Linked DNA regions of Elephas maximus indicus. The protein of the gene in region 1 purifies or fractionates together with the protein of each later gene. This does not show direct contact. Links are inferred from orthologs where the notes say so. Each region holds a gene or a part of one and is shown in the gene's direction. Other genes may lie near its edges.

Evidence for each region. The genes of interacting proteins can lie anywhere in the genome.
Region 2: the proteins of RAB11FIP1 (region 1) and RAB11B purify together in Homo sapiens (affinity purification with mass spectrometry; 3 studies listed by BioGRID and IntAct, counting the BioPlex papers as one, with this or other methods). This does not show direct contact. The link is inferred for Elephas maximus indicus from reciprocal best matches to the Homo sapiens genes RAB11FIP1 and RAB11B.

What each region holds. Positions count from the first base shown.
Region 1 is NC_064840.1:62,789,022-62,792,765, forward strand, and holds the start of RAB11FIP1 (rab11 family-interacting protein 1), read left to right. Parts: upstream 1-1,043; 5' UTR 1,044-1,116; coding exon 1,117-1,493; intron 1,494-3,744. UniProt on the Homo sapiens protein: A Rab11 effector protein involved in the endosomal recycling process. Also involved in controlling membrane trafficking along the phagocytic pathway and in phagocytosis. Interaction with RAB14 may function in the process of neurite formation.
Region 2 is NC_064821.1:13,114,583-13,118,326, forward strand, and holds the start of RAB11B (ras-related protein Rab-11B), read left to right. Parts: upstream 1-1,086; 5' UTR 1,087-1,157; coding exon 1,158-1,197; intron 1,198-3,744. UniProt on the Homo sapiens protein: The small GTPases Rab are key regulators of intracellular membrane trafficking, from the formation of transport vesicles to their fusion with membranes.

The sequences.
Region 1 (3,744 bases):
ACAAGGACGTGTCTCACCTGGAGCCCAGAGACAAAGAGGAAGGAGAGACTAAGAGGGCCCCACCCAAGGGCCCCAGTGAGGGAGAAATGGGGAACCTTGGGGACAGCCCCTCGCCCTGATGACTGGTTTGGCAATCCTGTTTCGGTTCATCCTGTCTTTCCTTCGCCTAATTTAGCTTCACCTCATTCGGTGAGAGCAGGGCAAAATAGGACACGCCTACACCGACCACACTGCAGGGTGGTGGCTTTTTACTTTTCCCTTTTCAGGCCCAGAAATAAGCCTTTTCCTTCCCCATCCACCCGGCGCCTATCTTCCTCCTGAGCAATGTTCGAGGCGTGCAGAAGTGGCAAAGAGCAGTGAGTTTATAGAGAGCTCACAGTGGGCCAGGCACTGTGCTGAGAACGGTAATGCATTATTTTTTCCTCCACAGTTCAATGCAGCGATCGTTACCTCATTGTACAAACGAAGAAGCTGAGACTTAAAGTCGCTAATTAATCTGCGCATGGTCACACACCTACCAAATGGCTATGTAAAGACTGGAAATGAGGTCTGACTACTAAGTCAGCGGAGCTTGCGACCCCATCGCTCACCCACCGCCTCTCAGATCCGAATTCTCGAACCCCGGGCGCCTTCCACGTCCTGTCCTCGCTCTGCCCCAGCCGCACCAGCTCCGCCCCAAGCACCCCGGACGGCGGAGGCGGGGCTGGGGCGCGGGCAGGTGGGGCGGGAAGGGGCGGGGGCGTGGCCGGGGAGGAGGGCCCTGGCGGGGGCGTGGCCGGGAGAGGAGGGCCCTGGCGGGGGCGTGGCTGGGGAAGAAGGCCCTGGCGGGGGCGTGGCCGGGAGTGGAGGGCCCAGGCGGGGGCGTGGCCGGGAGAGGAGGGCCGTGGCGGGGGCGTGGCCGGGGAGGAGGGCCCTGGCGGGGGCGTGGCCGGGGAGGAGGGCCCTGGCGGGGGCGTGGCCGGGGAGGAGGGCCCTGGCGGGGGCGTGGCCGGGAGAGGAGGGCCCTGGCGGGGGCGTGGCCGGAAGCCTTAAAGTTGCCGGGGCGGCAGGGCGGGCCGTTGAGGCGGCGGGTCGCGGTGATCGTCTCACGTCCGAGCGGACTGTGCCGCCGTCACCATGTCCCTGGCGGCCTCGGCGGACCGGGGCGCGGGGTCCTTGTGGTCCCCAACCCACGTGCAGGTGACGGTATTGCAGGCACGGGGCCTGCGGTCCAAGGGCCCCGGGGGCACGAGCGACGCGTACGCGGTGATCCAGGTGGGCAAGGAGAAGTACGCCACCTCGGTGTCCGAGCGCACCCTGGGCGCGCCCGTGTGGCGGGAGGAAGCCACCTTCGAGCTGCCGCCGCTGCTGTCCTCCGGGGCGGCCCCCGCGGCCGCCTCCACCCTGCAGCTCACCGTGCTGCACCGCGCGCTGCTCGGCCTCGACAAGTTCCTGGGCCGCGCCGAGGTGGACCTGCGGGAGCTGCACCGGGACCAGGGCCGCAGGAAGACCCAGTGAGTGCGGGCCGGGGGAGGGGAGAGGCAGCGGAGGAAGGCGCGGGCCCCTGGGGCAGTGGGACACGGGGTGGGAGGGAGGAGAAACATGCGGCCTCGACGCTGAGACCCTTTTAGAGTGAGCGCGACAGTCACGGTGCGTGTTTCAAGGGCACGGACGAAGAGAAGCTCTTCGAGAGGGACCCTCTCTACCAATACTCCTACTCTCACCCGGCTTCACTTCTTCGGCTGTGCGCCCTAGCTTTCCCTGTATTTGAGCTCCTTGAAAGTAGGGGCGGCACCTGGGGGAATTTTAAATCTGCAGGAGGCTGCTCAGCCCCTGGCACATTCATAGTAAGCTCTTAATGACTTTTTGATGAATCGAAAATGTATGTAGGTCAGGCGAATTCCTCCTTATGTGGGTCGTGTGGATATGTGATACGATTATTAATTTATGTAGAAAGTCTCCTGGGTATTTCACTGGCCTGGGCACTCGGAGTTAAGGGATGGGCCAGGGCGGTGGGGATTAACTGGAGAATTGAGACTCACTGACGCCCTGGGGCAGAGTAGAGGCATTACAGTACGGATGGGTGGGGGTGGGACACGGGGAATGCAGGCTGCCCAGTGAGAGCTAACCCACTGCCCACCCGGCGCGGTAATGCCTGAGGCCCAGGGAGAATGCTAGAAGAGTTTAGTCTTTCCTTTTAGGCTGAAAAATATTAACCCTGTTTACCCTGGGCCTCATATTACTAAAAATTTCCCAGTGATGGCTGGAGCCAGGGTCACCCCTTGGCCAAGTGGAACTGGGAAGCCGGCATTGTTTCTCTTTGGAGTTTGTCAAGCTCCCCTCTGTGATCTTAATCCTAATGGATGGCTGCTCATCTGTATCTCCCCCATCAAGGGTTCTGTGTCAGGGTATCTGTTTCCCACACAGAAAGCTGGTCAAAACCCAGTTCACTCCAGTGTGTTACCAATTTATTTGTTCTCTTTCACAGGTGCTTGGAAAGGGCAATGCTTAACCCAATGGAACACTCAATAATTATTCTCATCTAGTTAGTATACCAAAGGAACCCTGGTGGCGCAGTGGTTAAGAGTTTGGCTGCTGACCAAAAGGTCAGCAGTTGGAAACCACCAGCCACTCCTTGGAGACTCTATGGGTTAGTTCTACTCTGTCCTATAGGGTCATTATGAGTTGGAATCTACTCAAAGGCACTGGGTTTGGTTTTTTTCTTCTTCTTCTTTTTTTTTGGTATACCAAAAGCTGGCCTTGCTGATTTTAGTTGGGACACTTTCTTGGACCTTAAATATACAAGCCAATCAGGTCACCACCTAAATTCTACAGTTTATGAAGTACACTGATTCAGTTTGTGTGTCTTGTATACACCTAATATTTTAACTTTCCCTTGTAAGGGAGATAGGAAAAGCTAGAGGATTTGAAGTTACCAGGCTCCCTGTTCTATAGGGTGAGTCCAGTTTGAGCATGCATGTTTGCAAATGCAATACCTGATTCATTTATCTGGCCAAAGATGAAAAGACTTCTGAACTCAAAGCAGATAAAAAGTAGAGAGCCTTGATGTGAAGATGGATGGGGTATCTCTTGGCATCAAATTACAAGCCACAAAGTGAGCAGTGTCATCGTTCAAGAGGGGCTGAAGCAATGCTAATTTTCCATCTGATTAAATGACGTTTGGAATGATAAGTTGGCATCCTTTTCAACTTCATCTGGGTGCTGTTGACCATCCTTTATCTTGTCCTGCCCCAGGATGTGTGGATATTAACTTTCATCACAGCTATCTGTTTCTTCTGTGAACATTTTATCCCCTTGAAAGATGAATCTCATCTCCCGGCCAGAGATGGGGATTCCAGATTCCTGGGTCTGGTGCCAGCTTTGGTCCTGACTAATTGTTGGGCTTCAGGCTGCTTGGTCTCTTAAACACCCGAGTTTTCCTATTTATAAAGGAAGCTTGTTGCCAGCCCTAATTGATGTTTGTAAGACGTTTCTGGCTTCCTGGATTAAAGGGACCAGTGTATAGATTCAAAAGATTCTGTAACTGGTTTGTGAGGAATGAAAACCTTTGTAAGCTCCCTTTTTCAGGAAGAGTTCAGTCTCTGCACCTTCACTTTTCTCATCCTCTTCAGTGTAATCTTTGATGGCTACTCTTATTTTATGAGCTGATTACCGCTGAAGTTACTGTATGACTATCAGGGAGATGGTGCTTAGTTGATGGTTTTTAATAACTGCAAAGGACTTCTTTGTTTCTTTACCACTAGG
Region 2 (3,744 bases), on another chromosome or scaffold:
TGAGCTATAAACAAATAACGAACTCTAGTTAAATACACCAATGTTTAGAAGTGAAGCAGACTAATGTCTTCAATTTTTTTTTTAACCGAACTCCAAAACAAACCCATTGCTGTCAAGTTGATACTGACTCATAGAGACCCACAGGACAGAGCAAAACTGTCCCCCTAGAGTTTACAGAAGCCGACTGCCACATCTTTCTCCCTTGGAGAAGCTGGTATGTTCCAACTGCTCACCTTTCAGTTAGCAGCTGAGTGCCTAACCACTGCGCCATCAGGGCTCCTCTATAAAGATTACAGCTTCGGAAACCCTATTGGGGCAGCTTTACTTTTGTGATACAGGGTCACTATGAGTCGACTGACTCGATGGCACTAACAACTGTGATAAATCTTATGGGGGGAAAACAGGGTAAGGGGACAGAGAGAGGCAGGAAGACACGTTGGAGAGTGCCTGGTAACCAGTGAGGATTCATAATATATTTGTTAAACAAAAACTTCATGACATAAAAAGTGGTGAATTAATTTTTTATGTGTTCAGGGAAATAGTCTAGCTATCCTCAAAAGAACCCATGAGGTATCCACAGGAGGAAAATGAGGCACAGAGAACTGACACATGAGTCACCAATATAGAGATGGAAACTGCAATGGAAATCACCTCGCTCACAGCCCCTCGAAAATGGTCATTTACGTAGGGAGGCCAGAGCTGAGTGCACTGACCTATGACGTCACTGGGACGCTGACACCTCCTACACCTGGACGTAGCCCCATTTCCCTTCTCGAGCGGGTCCTCCGGTAGTAGGGCAGGATCTGGAGCAAGGCTCTCATTGGTAATTCGCTCCGTCAATCCGTTTCACTCCTCCAGTCTTCCGCTCCGCCTTCCTGACCTCGCCTCTGATAGGCTAGTGCGGCCATCACTTCAGAAAGGTCCGCATTCCTTCCGCCTTTCTCCAGGAGACAGAAGGCTAAGGGGGCGGGCTCCAGACGGCGCCCACCCCGGAGGCTCTGCTTCCGCCTCTGATTGGCTTTGTCGGGTGCCAGTTGCTCGGCCGCCCGTCGCTGATTGGCCACTCGACCGCCGCTCTGTGCCACTCCGGCTCCGCCCCCGCTGGGTGTTTGTGGTGGGGCTGCGGAGTCGCCGATCCCGCCGGAAGCGCCAGGACAATGGGGACCCGGGACGACGAGTACGACTACCTATTCAAAGGTGCGGTCGGTGGGACACCGACAGGCGAGGGCGCGGCAACGAGGCGGCGGGCAGACGAGTCGAGGCTGCGCTCCGGGCCGTTGGGCCCAGGCCGGAGCTCGGGACCTGGGACCCGTCAGGTCCAGCAGCGAGGAAGGCCGGGCAGACTGGGTTCCGTTAGCTCCAGGCCGGAGTGCGCGGCTGCGAGCAACCGGCGGCCCTGGGAGGCCTGGGGACCCGGGATGCGCCGGGGCGGGGTCGGGGCCCAGAGGGGGTGGGGCCCGGAGCGGTGGGAGAGGCCGTTGGGGTGGGGCCTTCGGAGGGGGCGGGGCCGCCCGGGATTTGGCGGGCCGGGCTGGGCTGGATGGATGACAGAGGGTGGGCCTTCGGGGCGGGGCCAATACATGGTGGGCGTGTCTGAGATGTGGACTGGTTCTGAGCTCAGGGGGCGGGACTCTGGGGTGGGCTGGGCCAGGCCTGTTGGGGGCGGGGCTCGCGAGGGGTGGGGCGGATAATAAGGGGTGTGCCGTCGTGGGGGTCCGAGGTGAGGTACGTAGTGGGGCGACCCTGGACTGGGGTGCACATCCTGAATGGGGCGGAGGAGCGCCTGTGTCTGCACCTGGACCTGGTGAAGAACAGAACTAATGATACTAGATGCTTGATAGCACTCACCAAGTATCTTGTCTTTTCTAAGCAGTTTGCACACAGAAATTTATTCAAATCCTCTCCACAATCCTATAAGGTCGTTATGACTCCAGCTCTTTTTTCACAGATTAGGAAACTGAGACCCAGAGAGACAAGGACAGCTAGTAAGTATTAGAGGCAGTTTTGAACCCTAACCTAGGGAGTGTGTTTGAAGGGCCTTGGCACCAGGACTGGGACTCAGGGCTGTTAGACCACCTCCCAACACATGCAGGCTGATGGCACCAGCATTGGCCAACCTTCTGGGGATCTTCCCTGCCCAAGGAGCACCAAGTATGGCCTACGCGGTTCTAGCCAGCCATTGCTTGCTGGGACCAGCTGAGGAGCTCCTTCATCCTGCCCCTGGAGCTGAGGAGACTCCCTCCCTGTCACTGGAGACTCTGTGCTGTTTTAGGGGTCATTGGCTTTGCAGGAGTCCCTGGTGGTACAAACCATTAAGTGCTTGACTGTTAAGCAAAGAGTTGGTGATTTGAACCCACTCGGAGACACCTTGGAAGAAAGGCCTGGCGATCGGCTTCCAAAAGGTCACAGCCTTGGAGCACAGTTCTACTCTGATTCCACTCTGACACACATGGGTTTGCCATGAGTCTGAATTGACTCCACAGGCACTGGTTTGGTTTTTGGCTTTTGGTTTTGCAGCGGTTTGCATGCAAAGCTGAGCAGTGACCAGGTGCTCTCCTGGGCTCCCTGGCTGACAGTGATCACCCTAGAGAGCTGCTGACTGCCTGCTGCCTGCTGTGTGAGGATTTGCCTCCCATGTCAGCTGAGGGCATCTTGCTCCCAATGGGGTCCGTGTCCAGAGCAGGCCTTGCCACCTCTTGTGTCTGTGGTATCATCTGTCATCTTGAGGCCAGGCCTGGGGTCCTTGAGATGAGAAGAGTGGGGTGCAGGTCTCCTTGCCTGGGGTATCCATGCAGCAAAAAGCTTCCAGGCAGAGAGAGCCCCTGTGCAAAGGCCCAGCAGCATCACAGCCCCATGGGCTTGGGACCTGCCAGCAGGCTGATGCATTGCTGGCAGACACAGCTGTCTGTTCAGTGAGGCCTGAATGTTGGGACCTTACCCTAAAGCTGGGGGGTGCTTTGGAGGGACCCTCTGGGGACGAGTGACCAGCCTCCAGTCCTGTCACACTGGTCCAATCTGCACTCAGCCTACACAGAGGCAGCTACTCTGTAGATCCCTGCTGGGCACCCGCCCTCTGTGGCCCCGCCAGAGCAGCGGGACTTTTCCAGGTCCCTGTGTCAGCTTGCGGTGTATTGGGTACTGATTATTCTCGACCTTTCATTGTTATAAATAACCCGGTACTGAGGATTTGTGCAAGCCATCGTCTTTTGCCCTTTGGGCTCTTTCCTTGAAGTGTGTTCCCAGAAGTAGTTACTGGGTCAGGGGCAACAAAGCGGCCATGCAGTTCCCAGGATGAATCCCCAGAGTCCGCTTCCTGGAAACGCCAGTGTGACTTCGGCAGCAGCTGGCGCGGGGGGTGGCGGGGCGGGGGGGGTGGGGGGTCGGGGGGGCCCTCCTGCCTGCCTTGCTGCCTTCCCCCCCACTGGCCTCCTTTCATGAGCAGGTGCCCTGCTGACCTTCTTGAGGTGGTTTGGTAGTGGATGTCCAGCCCACAAGATCAGCATTTCCCGGACTATGGACGTAGGAGGTGTCACCTTAACCTTACTATGTGCCTCCATCCTAGGACCATCTACTGTCGTTGAATATTTTTCTTTAAGTTCCCTCATTTTGTCACTCAGGTAAATTTTTTGGGAAAGGAAGCTCTCTGTGACCTTGGACCATGGTGACGCCATGTGTGCAAAGTAGAACTGCTCCATAGAGTTTTCCAGGTCGTGACTTTTCAGAAGCAGACCGCCAGGCCTGTCT